Arabidopsis thaliana: one gene and its partners. The protein of the gene in region 1 interacts with the protein of each later gene in a pairwise test. Each region holds a gene or a part of one and is shown in the gene's direction. Other genes may lie near its edges.

Region 1 (5,390 bases):
GTTCATTTCCATTATAAGTTGATTTCCTTAATGTATTATTTATCTAAGAATCTTGCAATTTTAGTTTGATACGATCTTGCTGTTTCAAATGCTTTCTGACATTCGTTTTCTACAAAATTTCACCTTGAAAATGAACAACACAATACTATCAGTCTTGCATTATCATGATTGTCAGCTTTTCGCTTCTTTCTCAACGTATTGTATAGTCTGTTTCAGGATCATTAGAAATAGTAAGAAAGTAAACCATTGTTGCAAGAAATCTTGGCAATGGCGTCTTCAAACAATTGTTGTTTCAGATTACTAACATAAAAACAGGGACTTCAGTTTTTATTAGGAACAGAGTTCCGATGTCTGAGAACCAGGACAGATGTTTTCTGCATAATTCATTTACAGTTAAAAACACATCTTGATTGATTCAACATGAAACCAAACACAGACTCCATTCATTATTATTCGCAGAATCTAGAGACCGAAATGAAAATGTTTTATCAACATGTACACACGTTTTAAGGCAAGCCAAGATTTGTGTCTTTCTTTTGAAAAGAAAAAAAAAAGAAATTAGATCTAAGAAACTTGCAATTTTAATTTGATATGATCAGCTGTTTCAAACAATTATGCCTTGTCTTTGGAATGAAGGATCTTTACTTACGCCGTTGTATTGAACATAATGCCAACTACTGGTTATTGCGCTATGTAATGCATATGAATCAAGATGTCCAGAGAGTGGGCTTTTCTTTTAGATTTCTTGTACCATTTCTTTTACATGTTCATTTCCATTATAATAAGTTGATTTCCTTCATGTATTATTTATCTATGAATGTTGCAATTTTGACTTTGACGATCTAGCTGTTTCAAACGTTAATATGAATATTAATTCCAAGATCTAGTGAATTAAAAAATAATTGAGATATCCAGCTCATAAAAAAATAGTTCAGAGTTTAAAAATGGATCCGAATCCAATGTTTTTAGATTTCTTTCATTTTCATTTTTTATATAAATAGTGCTAATTGATACGACTAAAGAATTAAAAATTGACTATTTTAAACTAGTGGTTCATTTTAATAAAATAATACTAATGATTGATATTGTAAAACTATTTTTCCGTTTACTTTTAAATAAGGTTTTGTGCTAACTCATCCATTTTGCAACTTTATTTTCTACCTCCAATAAATGCAGATTATTTTTATGAAGTCTAAAATAATACAAAATATGATCTTTATATATATATATATATTGTAAACGTTTTTACGGTTATATACATTAGATTTTTAAAATTTTGAAGGTAAAGTTAAATTCTTCTTCGCGAAAGTTTTAATTTAACATATTATTATCGATATTTTACAAAATTGTTGGTAACAAAAAAAAAGGCAAAAGAGGGTTATAATGCATATTATTTTATATTGTTAATGATTAATCTGTATTTGATGGAGGTAGAGGTTGAAGTTGCAAAAATGGATGAGGTATAGTGGTTTTTGCACAAAACCCTTAAAATACTTTAAAGATAATAATTTATTTTTTTGTATATCTAAGTTAAGTAATTGTAAATAAATATTAAACATTGTAACTAAAAATAAATAAATAAACATAATAAATAGAATGAATCATTTACTTGAGAGTTAGAAGATACATCAAAATGATAATCATAGAAAAAAACACCAAAACGATTGTTTATAAAATTAATTCAGTTGATGTAAATTATTAATTATTATAACTAACAAAATGCATGAAAAAACCGGCACGGTGCGGGTTTTGGGCCTAATTATTTTTTATTGTTAATGAAAGACCAATAAAACCAAAAGTCTAATAAAAAAATAATTTTGTAAGGGCATCGTTGAGGATTTGAGATTAACGCAGAGAAGACTTTTGAGAGAGAAAGGAGCTTAGCTTTGAGATTTCAGATCCAATCTTCTTTTTCATAAGAGCATCGTTGAAATTAAAGAGAGAAGACTTTTGAGAGAGAGAGAGAAACGTGAAAGAAACTTAGCTTTGAGATTTCATATCCAACTTCTTCTTCTTCAAAATCTCTTAGTAAACGACCATGGATTCTAAGGGAGTGTTAATGCCGTTGATCCACGAGCATCTTATGATGCCTTGGAAAAATCTGAAAAGAGGTCCTTGCTGTGGTTGCTGTGGACGCTTTGAAGCTATCAGTGATGGATACTACTGCAAAACCTGCGATTTTTTCGTCCGAAAAAATTGTGCTGACGAGCCCTCCGAATATATCAAGCATCCATCTCACCCCAAGCACACTCTTCAGCTGCTAAGACCTGAAAGACCTACTAATTTCTGCAATTTGTGTGGAAGGATGTGCCCAATATTCTATCGTTGTGATCTATGTGACTTCGACATGGATTTATACTGCTCAAAGTATCCACCACCAGAGGTTATTGACATTTCCAAGACGCATCACCACAGGCTTACCCTTCTCAAGAAGTGGATCAAGCAATGTATATGTGCTAAATGTTGCAAGATTATTGGTAATGAGTTTCCTTACAATTGTCATGAATGTGATTTATCCTTTCATGTGGATTGCGTATGGTATCCGCCCGAACTAGAACTCCGTTTAGAGGTAAACCATTCTTACCACTCTTTACACCCTCTTAAACTCTACGCAAAGGGTCAGTTACCGGATTATTCTGATGGGAAATGTCGTCTTTGCGCAAGAAAGATTGATGAAACATTTTTTTTCCATTGTTCTCCGTGTAACTTTACCTTGGACAAGGTTTGTGTTTTGCGCCCACCACAACAATCTCTTCTGAATTTGAAAGCTCATGATCACCAACTCACCCTTCTCCCAAAACTCGATTCTTTTACATGCAATGCTTGCGGGCTGAAGGGAGATCGTAGCCCTTACGTATGTTTTCAATGTGGTTTCATGATCCATCAAGACTGTCTTGGCCTTCCACGCCTCATCAACATTAACCGGCATGATCACCGTGTTTCTCGAACTTCTGTTCTTGGTGTTGTGAATTCTGTATGTGGAGTTTGTCGCAAAAAGGTGGACTGGTCTTATGGAGGTTTTTCTTGTCAGAGGTGTCATGGCTATGTTGTTCATTCAAAATGTGCTACTAGAAAAGATGTGTGGAATGGGAAAGAACTTGAAGGATTACCCGAAGAAACAGAAGATATAGAGCCATATGTGGTGATAGATGAAAACACAATACAACATTTTAGTCACAAAGAGCATTACCTAAGACTCAACGTTAATGGTGTTCTATGTGATGACAACAAGCGGTGCAAGGCATGCACCCATCCCATCTGTCTCCAGTCTTTCTACGGCTGTATGGATTGTAACTTCATTCTCCACCAAAACTGCGCTGGATTTCTTAGAATGAAATGGCATGTGCTACACAATGAACGTCTTACGTTGGTTACAAACAAGGATGAAGGCTTTAGGTGTTATGCTTGTGATAGATTGTCCAATGGTTTCAAGTACCAGCATGGGAATAAGGCATTCGATGTTCGGTGCATTTCAATTTCTGAGCCACATATCCATCCAAGTCATCCTAATCATCCCTTATATTACTTTCCATCAGACGAAGTACAATGGTGCACTGGTTGCAACATGGAGCAGGACTTTGTGCTTAGTTGCATTGAAGATAATTGTGGATTTTTATTATGCTTTGGATGCGCCACTTTACCACAAATGGTAAAGCATAGAGTTCATGATCATCCTCTCTCACTATGCTATGGCGAAAAGGCAAGTGGTAAATATTGGTGTGACATTTGTGAAAAAGAAACAAATCCACATACATGGTTCTATACGTGTAAAGATCATCAGGCTAGTTTGCATACAAAGTGTGTGCTTGGAGACCTTTCAAGTCTCATGCGAAGAAGCACAATAAAAATTGAGGGCACTTCATATGAGGTGGTGCTCAATAATAGTATATCTCGTCCATTTTGCAGCTGGTGTAAGATGCATTGTATTTTTCCTATCATCTTGAAGACACTTGGAGCCACGAATGAATACTCCTGCTCTCTTGAATGTGCAGAGTGTAGATATACAGACCGTTAAAGCCCAAAATGAAGCAAGATGTTTAGCGAGTCGAGGTTTTTCTTGTAATGTTATTTTTTTTCTTTCTTACGAGTTCATTTCCTTTATAAGTTGATTTCCTTAATGTATTAAATATCTAAGAATTTTCTGGCACCAAACTCCATATACAATGTGTGTGTTGTAACATATATCATATGAGGTGGTGCTCAATAATAGTTTATCTCGTCCATTTTGCATCTGGTGTGAGTTGCGTTGCATTTTTCCTATCATCTTGAAGATACTTGGACCCTCGGATGTTTAGCGAGTAGGCTTTTCTTTTAGATTTCTTGTACCATTTCTTTTACAAATTCATTTCCATTCTAAGAAGTTGATTTAATGGTACTTATGGCATGTATTAGTTATCTAAGAATCTTGGAATTTTAATTTGATATGATCAGCTGTTTCAAACGTGTTATGCCTTGTCTTTGGAATGAAGGATCTTACTTACGCCGTTGTATAGAACATTCTGCCATGCTACTGGTTATGGAGGTACCATTGAACGCTAATGTTTCAGATGGGATGCCATAGAAATTCACCCAACTGATCAAAGAGAACTTCTTAACTCAAGAATGTTGTGTCATCATCATTCCCACCAGTACTAAGATTGACATTTTTTGAAGAGCAAACTATAACCATGATAGACATTCAAGAAGATTCCCTAAGCATAATGTCAATGTGCATTCTGTTTCAGATCATTAGTAATAAAGTAAACCCTTGTTGCAAGAAGTCTTGGGCAATGGCGTCTTCAAAGCATACACATGACTGTTTCTTTCAGATCATCTGGTATTCAGAAACTACAATGCTTTGAAGACGCCATTGTAGCAAGTTCTGTGTGTAGACGAAGTAGCACGTTGTCGTCCACGTAACCAATCCCTTCACCAGAAAACAAAACAAAAAGAAACAGAGTATTCATGTGTATGTTTTTGTTTGAATATGTCTGTATAAACACTTATTACCTGGCCAAAGATCTCTATGTTTGCTTCTGGATATATAGTACCACAGATGGAAGAATCTGTTAAGCCAGGTTATGACAATCTTTAGACTGACTTCTGATAAAAAACAAAGAGATGGTTGTTGAAGCGCGCAGTTTACTTACTGCATTATGAAGATTTCGGCTAAAGGACAGGCGACACCAAGGAGAGTGGCAATGGTGAAGCCAATCCAAGTTTATCCAAAGAGAACCAAATAAATTCTGCTAAGGCAAATAGAATGTAAGCTTCTATGTTGTCTGAAACTCCAGCTTTGTAGATTTCAGAACTTAGCTCTAAGAACAACACCAGTGCTCTGTTTCATTCACCAAACCATATAGAGTTTCACTTCCACTGTCCCCAAAATAGTTATACTTCTACACAACAAT
Region 2 (5,530 bases), on another chromosome or scaffold:
TCTCCATTTTGTTTGCCGCCAGGCTACGCTATTGAACTTCAATTGTCCAGTTAGATTTGTTTCTCTTCTAGCATAATCTCATGCATGTACATTTATATATGTGTACTCTGGCAACTGACTTTTTTTCTTCTTTCTAACCTTCAATATAAATATTATATGAAACTTGAAAGTAATTATATATATCAAAAGAAATCTAATTAGAACCATTATAAGTAATAAAGAAAAATGTTGACAAAAACAAACTTGCAAAAGTAATAAAGAAAATTTTAATATTTTTAATTATAGTCTAGTCAAACTTTAAATTAATGATTTTAACTTTTCTGGACATTAGTTTTATATATACTACACACACACCTATGACAAAAAAGACATGTATACGTAAACATACACTTACAGGGAAAAAATTAAAGGAAAGAAACTAAAAAAAAATGGAGATGAAGAAATGTAGTATGATCATGATGATAATGATGATGGTGGTGATGGCATCCATACGAGGAGGAGAAGCAATTATAATAAGAACAACATGCAAGCAAATGTGCATCGACCAATGTGGTGGCCGCATCACTGTCCCTGAGACCCCTTGTCTCCGTAAATGTCTTCACGAAAAATGTGGCTTTCCAGCTCCTCCGTAATAATTCGTAACCTCGTATATATTTACGTATATTGATCAAGTATACCTTTTAATTTGTGTTGACTAATAATTTATATTTATCGCGACATTGCAGGATGGAGGCTGTAGGAATGGAAAACCTCATAGGATAGATCCTCATATCCTCAGTTTACTTTTCATAAGTTATTGTTGTGGAAGGAAAGAATTACAATAATTAAGAGTAATGAACAAAAACTCAGTTTACTTTTCATAAGAAATTTTGATGTGTACAATGATTTTTTCCTATGATCATAAAGATTTCCGAGGCCAAAATTAGGGTCAACATTCATTCATATTGGATTTGAACCTTATTTTGATCCTTATAAAGACTTTCTTCGATCGATTTACTTCATCCATATTTTATGGCCCTTTCTCCTTCGACAACAACGCATTAATTCTCAGGACGGGTGCGTTGCAATGTAAAAAGTTCTTTCGAAATATTTCATCCGATTAGTTTTCCTCAAAAGTATTAGTTTCAATTAAATTAAAGATAATAGCCTAATTATAAGATAATAGCTTAATTATAAAGCCAGCCAGATTACTTCAAGTTGAAGTAATCAAGCAAACTATCTAACACTGATAATTCGTTTAAGCTCCGATGCTATATATCTAGCACATGGTTAATGCTATAACAAGTTAACACCCTCTGCATGGTCCAATATCTATAAAAATTCTAAACAGAACAAATTAATGTACAAACACAGAACAAAATAATGTACAAAACACATTTTTGTCCCTTTTGCTTACTTACACAGTAAACTCATTGTCTTATCTACTCATTACAGGTTTTATTGAATTAATTATCAAAAACATACGCACCCATTTCTACTGATATATAGTGAAAATACTCTAATTTATTATTTTAAAAAAAAAAACACTTTGCAGGTCTAAAGTGAGCTAGGGACGTGAAAAAACTGAAAATACATATTGAAACTAGACGAAGGAATTGTTATGTTCAATATGTATTTAGTGTTAATTAAAAGACTAGTTGCTTGAAGGAAGAGAAGACATGCAATGATGCAATGCAGAAAACGTAGTTAATGCATTAAAAGAGTCTTTGACTCTCTAAAGTGTAACCGTAGTATTCGGTTTTGTCAGCTCCTTCGGCTAACTAATTAAAATCCTAACGGTTCAATTTTCAACCTTTCACACACTATTCAATATTACTATTTTCCGAAAAATTGGTATGATAAAAATAATATTATTGTAACTATATTGTAAGTAAGGGTTTTGATTTAGAGCGATTAAAAATGTTATAAATCAAAATAGTGATTGATGCCAAACGCGTATTAAATCAAACGTTTGCCGATGACTGAACTACTTTCGGTAAACGAGAAACCAGACAAATGGGCCTGTCTCAGAATAGCCTTTTAAGGAGCCCAATAAATTTGGACGTAGCACGATATGAAAACGCCATCGTTTTAAAGTTCTCATCACGATGGTTCGCGTTTTGAAGCATATTTTCGAAACTCGAATCAAAATTCAAATGGCGGGCTAAACTTCGATTCAGTCTCTCTCTTTCTCTCTTTGGTGATGGAACAAATTAGCAACATCGCTGGTGGAGACACAACGAAAGAGACTATGGCGTCTCTGGGTCTCATCTGTGAGAAAGATATTCATGAACAGCGTCTTAAAATCGATTCTTTCATCGCTTCTCCTTTCCGGAGATCGATGAACTCTTTAGTGGAGCGAGCTCAAGCCACTGCTCAAAGCCAAGGTAAAATTCAAAATTCGCATAGTACCACTCAGTTCCGTATGACCCAGATCGTAAATTTCACACTTTTTTACGGTTTAGGCTCTGTCTCTCTGAAATTAGGGTTTTAAAATTTCGACATCAGACTGGTAAAATTGAGCGGTTCTGTGAAATGTTTCTTTGATTTTACAGTGGAACTAATGAATTTGAAAGCGGATCTGAGAGAAGCAGAGGATGAGCTAGTTAAAGTGTTGGCAGGTATTATTACCTCAAAAGCTTGAAACTTTGAACTTAGTTTCTTAAATCATAAGATTCTCCTTGGTGTTATTTTCATGCTTACATACATTGTTTTGCTGAGTTTGGATATCTTACTGTCTTTGGGATGTTATATGTTTGATGTTTAGTGAAAACCCGTAAAGAGGCACGGCAAATGGGGATAAGAGATTCCATTTCTGCAACACAATCTAGGATTGAAGTACTTAGAAGAAATTTGCAGCTACAGAAGTCAAAGAAGGATGATTCTGTGAGAATTATCTCCCAACAGTTGCAAGGTATCGTTATATAATTCTGAAGTTCATTATACATACAAGTTTCATGAGTCAGCTACATGCTTTGGGATTTTGTAAAGTGAAGATATCTATAAAAAGTACTCTGCTTGTTTCAATAAGAGATCACATGAATCACTGAAGACCAAGCTAACATATTTCTTCCAATAAAGCCTTGTCAAAATCGAAGGACAACGCTGGTAAAGTCACCGAAGACAAAGCAGATATTCATGAAGCAATCTCTTGGTATAATCATGCTCTCGGTTTTCACGTTGAAGCTGGACATGGTAATAGAGACATTTTGAGTTTGTAACAATCTTAGTTCTATATTACTAAACCTTAGCCCTAAAAGAGCTTTGTTGTTTTAACTTCTCTTACAGGAGTTAAATTCACATTCACCAACATTGATGCAAAAAGGCCGACCCGCGAATTTTCGTTCACAGTTCACTATGGAAATGACATCTACACACGTGAGTATATATATGTCTTCTTGAAGCAAGCATCAACTACATTATAATGTTTACAAAAAAACCTAGTAATATGAACTGTTTACAGTCGTTTACTTATATGATCATCAGTATTGGATAGCGATCTGCAATTGGATTACATCAACGAGATGGTTCAAGAATTGAATAAAACCAATGACCTTTTCAGATTTGTTCGTCTGATGAGGGAGCAGTTTCTGAAATCCACTTTATCTGGTAAATTGTCTCAAGCCTATCCTTTTATAACCTCTATCTCCATAAGTGAGAAATCTTATTTTCGATATATATAAAAGTTGAATATGACCAAGACTTGTGTTTTATTGGATTTTGTCAGAGCTGCCAACACATTCAGGACAACTGCAACAGGAAACGTCTGCCATATCTGCTTCAGCTCCAGCTATATCATTTTCCACTGATACAAACATGTCAACTCCAGAAAACAAAAGATCTAAGGTTCAAGTGAATCGGCGACAAAAAAGAGGTAGCGAATCACCACTCCTAGCTCCTGTATCCACATCTGCCACTCGCCGTTCTTCTCGCTTTAAGGTACTGGATACTCATTGTGTTCTTAAATGTTACAACACCAAACCAAATTCAAAATATTTGTTAGATACTATAGTTTCCAAAAGTAGGATACCAGAACCTATTTGCATAACAACTGGACATAATAATGTTCTATCTGATTAATAATACTTAACTGATCACATGGAGCCTATAGTATTTAACATACAACTTATATAGCAACTCTAACTTGTTACAGGGTAAGAAATGAAGGTGGAGCTCTGTTTTCCTTTTCACAAGCATCAAGGAATAAACTTAAGCGTAGATGATGCTGCGGAACTTTCGACAACAACAGATTGTTGTTTGAAATTCCTATAAATATTAGAATGTCATTGTAATCACGCTTATTGACAATGTTGATTTCTTTACTAGTGTGGATGCTATGCTTATACACCAATCGATGATGGAGCTTGTGGGACTAGATTTTAATCGATGTAATCTCGCGCTTCTCTATTTCTAGATTTCGTTAGCTAATGGATGCTTGTCTAGCTTCATTAAGATTGCGCATTAGAGATAATGATGGATACTTGAGCCATAGATTGTGCATTAGAGATGTACAGTTTATGCAATTTTAAAACTAAAAATATAGCCACAACCATATTTTCTATCTTAAATTAGACAAGAAAACAAATCAAACACCATTCTCCAACTCGTTGTTCCTCTTGAAACGACTCTTCACCTCGCTCATGAAGGCGAAGAAGGGATTTGGTGTAGCCAACGCGGGAGAACGAACATGGAAAAGTATAAGTGATAAAGGTCTTCCAACATGTTACAATCCCCAGCAAAACTCAGAGTTTGATAATCTTTGCAACATTCCAAGCTGTTGTGAAGCCCGAACTTGTCTTTACGCAAATTAGTAGACCCCAAACATGAATGCATCTTGCACCACATGTACATTGTATTAGCATCAAAAGGGTTTATTGCCAGCGGAATGTAATCAAAACCAGTCTCACTACAAGCTAGAGATATTTCAGATACTATTTCCCATTCCCGGCTCTTTAGCCTCCATACACGTAACTTATGCTCTACATGTGCATCATCTTTGTCTTGGGAGAAGATGTTCATGTACATGATATATCCTTGAGATGTTGTGCAAACTCATTTTAAATTTGGTGGTTTCGTTCCACCGTCAGGGAAAGGTGTAACTTGGCATCGATCAGATTCCGTGCCAGTCGCGTAGAAATCATGGAACACAACAACCTCTCCATAGTCGTTGTTGTAGCCTATCCAGTAAAGGTTTCCATACAAGCTAACAGGGTTGTAATCTATCAGACCAGACAAAGTGAGATGAGATTGGAGGGTTTTGAAACTCCATAACCCTGTCTCGGATGAATATATCAGTAAACTTATGACATCGTCCAAGTTACTTGTATCCATCAAAACAACTTTGTAACCTAAAACGACGTGATCCTCAAGTTTTGTGACAAGCCCAGAGGTTAAAAAATAACCAACTGTTGGAGGAGGCTGAGGGATTTCGACACATTGTCTTGAGATCGGATTAGCCACATAGTAAGTTAGTAATTTGTTGCCAGAGCTGATCAAAATCAATCCAACATGAGTGTAAGCCACGGCGAGTGTAACGTTTGGGAATTGAGTA
Region 3 (3,552 bases), 8.1 Mb from region 1:
TCTGATGTTATTTACTTATTTAACTAGTTACAAGTAAAACTTTTGCTGCGGGCCTGCGGCTTTCGTAAATTAGTGATATGATCATATGAATGAAGCAGATCTGTGTCATCTGTCTATCTTTTTTTTTTTTAAACAATCTATCTTTAATTAAAGAAAATTTTGAATAGATGTAAACTAAATATTAAATTCTTCTCTATCCATTTAAGAAAGTTGTGGGCGTTATTGTTCAACATCATGGTAGAAAATGACGCTACTAACCATTAAAACAACAAAGTGTGTAAAGAATTGGATTCTACCATAAGAGGAACACGTTGCATTGTTACATATATTCCATGCTCTAGGACGGTACGGGCAAGTTGCAGAATAAGATGTGATTTGGCATATTACATAATGTATGTGTCGGTACATGAATCACGTACACTGAAAATGATGATAACCTTGTATTGTGATGTAACAATAAGTGACTCTTGAGATCGAAATGGGCCACCATTAATACTATTTTGAAGAGAAAAACAAAAAAAAAACTAATATTTTACATTTTTTGTATATTTTTGGTTTTAGGATATATATATACGTGGTTGCTTCACTATCATACTATCATATCCATCTTGTTGGGCACGAGCTTGAATTTCTAGCAATCTTATTCATCGAATAGGGAATAAAGTTCAATTTTGTTTTATTCTTTGACATTGCAAGATTCGATTTCATGCATGACGGTAAGGCTAAAACGGAACCACAAAGTTTGCCTTTTTCTCTCAAGTGGTTATAAAAAAACAATTCTTGAGATATTATCTCATACTCTCTCGAGTTTTCTCAAACACTGAAGCTTGCAACTCTTTTTGGCGTATCTAAAACTATGTCCAAGGCGTATCTAAAACTATGTCCAAGCTATCCAATGATTTTTACCCGATTTTCAGCAGAACACATACACTATGAAATACTATAAAGTATGATTGAAAGCATATTAGATATCGAAATATTTTTCCATATATCATGTACACATAACCGTTACAAAAAATAATTGCTATATTATTAATAATTTCTTATTAGACTCAAAAATACTGTAAGAAATATTTCAATTAATTTTGAATACTATATTAGTATAGTACACGAAATCCGATAATTTCAATTAACGACGACTTCACGATAACATGAAATCTTTTCGTATATAGGCGTCAAGACATTTATATGTCGATAATGTGTTGGATATTTTTGACGCATTCCTGACGACATATTTAGATTGAAAGTAACATTCTCAAAACCAAAAATTATTATCACAAGCCTAAATGAGCCAAAATGAAATCCGGAGTAAACACTATTAGCAATTTTCAACTTTATTTGAAACTAAAAACATATTTCGGAATTTTGAAATTTTATAAGTCAAACGAGTTTAGCAGAGATAAAACTCATTTCTGCTTTTTATCAGTGGTTTTCACAATGAAGGCCGTACTAATGAAACATGACATTATTCGTCCGTATCAATTATTCCTCATATATATCAAAGAGAGATTTTGTTTTCTGTACGTTTTACCAAATTAGTTGATAGTTTTATTCTTTAGCTGCAAGAGGGAAAAAGACTCAAAGAGTCAAGACGTGTGAACCGATAATATCCTCAGATTCTTTCGGAATACTTCGACTATCTTAATTTTCATCATTTAAAATTGTGTTCTTTTATTTCTTTACTTACAATTTGAGATATTTCATATTTGTGCTAAAGTTGATTCTCGTAGAAAAAGGCAACGTAATAAGAAAGGTTACGTACTTTAGAAAGCTATATATAAAGGACCTTACCCACTTCACTCCATCAAACACAAAAACACAGAGTCACTTCTCATTTTCACCCAAATATATCAATAATCTCTCTATAAGTTATCTAGTTTTCCCATATTCATCTCTAATCTAGCATTTTGACCAAACACACCTATTTTTCTCCTTTGCAAGACAGTTTTCAAATATCTATCACGTTATATTACTAATGGAGAATCTACAAAAGATGATCTCCGAGAAGTCGGTAGTGATCTTTAGCAAGAACTCTTGCTGCATGTCTCACACAATCAAGACTCTCTTCTTAGACCTTGGCGTGAACCCGACGATCTATGAACTCGATGAGATTAGCAGAGGAAAGGAGATAGAGCATGCATTGGCTCAGCTCGGGTGCAGCCCGACAGTGCCAGTGGTGTTCATAGGAGGGCAGCTTGTTGGTGGAGCCAATCAAGTCATGAGTCTCCATCTCAACCGCTCCCTTGTTCCAATGCTTAAGCGCGCTGGAGCTTTATGGCTTTGACTTCAAAATAAATGGAATTGCAAATGACTTAGGTTCTGAGAAACTTATTAATGTGAACAAAAAAAGGTAAAAAAAACATATACAAAAATGTATGTATGAGTTTATTACTATATATGTCTATCTATCTAAGTTTTCAAAAGATAGATTATGCGGTTACCTATTTTGTAAACATGCATCTAAGAGATATTTATATTTTATAATAAAAATCAGCAACATTTGGATTTCTCCTTTTTCCCAATTCATATTTATATAATTTTGTATACATATATGCATCTAGAAATGAATACACGTGCACTGAATATAGATGATTTTTTATGGTGTAAAGGAAAAAAGAAAGAATATATAACTATTTATGCAGAACATGCGCCAAGACATAATAATTAATTTAAAAATTTGAAGAAGGCATATTTTATAGGCTAAGAATATTGTATTTGTATCTGCCACAAATTAAAAAGCGATGACGAGTCTGAATCGTGTGTAATGTCAAGCCTTAACTTTTCAAACGAAATTCTTACAATGATATGCAACTGTTAATAAATGTTAGGCGTGATTGTCAACTGAATTAGCTAGTTACAACTTACAAGTGTAAAAATACAGGAGATTGCGTAAATTTGAGATATGGATCTTAGAACAACTCTATAATCAATTAAAGAAATTTAGAATTAAGGTAAATCAATCATTAAATTCTTCACTGTCTATCTACAGAAACATTGTTGAACATCATGATAAAAAATGACGTTTCTAACCATTAAAATAACAAAGTGTGTAAGGAATTGGATTCTGCCATATAAGGAAAATCTTTGCATTGTTACATATATTCCAATAATAGGACAGTACGAGCCAGTTGCGGAACTTGATGCGAATAGGCATCTTACATACATATAATGTGTCGGTACGTGAATCACGTAATGTTCAAATGATGATAACCTTGTATTGTGATATAAGAATAACGGCTCTTGAGATCAAAATTGGGCCACCAATAATCTTTTAGGAAGGAAGGAATGCAAAACTATGGCTTTAAAATTTTGTTGAGCCCCACGTGGCTGCTTCACTAATCAATCTTCTTGGCCACAAGCTTGAGATTTCAGAATTTCGTGGAATTGAGGATAAAGCTCTCTTTGATTCTTGATTCTTAACATTGTAAGATTCGATTTCATTCATGACGATAAGGCTAGAACGGAACCACATAGTTTTCCTTTCCCTCTCAAGTGGTCATACAAGAATATTATAATTCTTGAGATGCATTATATCTTGCGATTTCGAGTTTT

What was found. The genes of interacting proteins can lie anywhere in the genome.
Region 2: the proteins of AT4G01920 (region 1) and AT3G48210 interact in a two-hybrid assay, tested with the Arabidopsis thaliana proteins (one large-scale study listed by BioGRID).
Region 3: the proteins of AT4G01920 (region 1) and AT4G15700 interact in a two-hybrid assay, tested with the Arabidopsis thaliana proteins (one large-scale study listed by BioGRID).

The regions. Positions count from the first base shown.
Region 1 is NC_003075.7:827,728-833,117, reverse strand, and holds AT4G01920 (Cysteine/Histidine-rich C1 domain family protein), read left to right. Parts: upstream 1-1,829; 5' UTR 1,830-2,038; coding exon 2,039-4,015; 3' UTR 4,016-4,292; downstream 4,293-5,390. Other genes in the region: AT4G01915 (uncharacterized protein), read right to left, coding at 4,821-4,906, 4,990-5,045.
Region 2 is NC_003074.8:17,847,253-17,852,782, forward strand, and holds AT3G48210 (kinetochore protein), read left to right. Parts: upstream 1-2,098; 5' UTR 2,099-2,182; coding exon 2,183-2,366; intron 2,367-2,534; coding exon 2,535-2,600; intron 2,601-2,746; coding exon 2,747-2,893; intron 2,894-3,060; coding exon 3,061-3,174; intron 3,175-3,267; coding exon 3,268-3,357; intron 3,358-3,465; coding exon 3,466-3,588; intron 3,589-3,706; coding exon 3,707-3,918; intron 3,919-4,132; coding exon 4,133-4,144; 3' UTR 4,145-4,533; downstream 4,534-5,530. Other genes in the region: AT3G48209 (Plant thionin family protein), read left to right, coding at 429-632; AT3G48220 (F-box protein), read right to left, coding at 5,032-5,530. UniProt on the Arabidopsis thaliana protein: Acts as a component of the essential kinetochore-associated NDC80 complex, which is required for chromosome segregation and spindle checkpoint activity to ensure proper cell division.
Region 3 is NC_003075.7:8,935,570-8,939,121, forward strand, and holds AT4G15700 (Thioredoxin superfamily protein), read left to right. Parts: upstream 1-1,788; 5' UTR 1,789-1,975; coding exon 1,976-2,284; 3' UTR 2,285-2,555; downstream 2,556-3,552.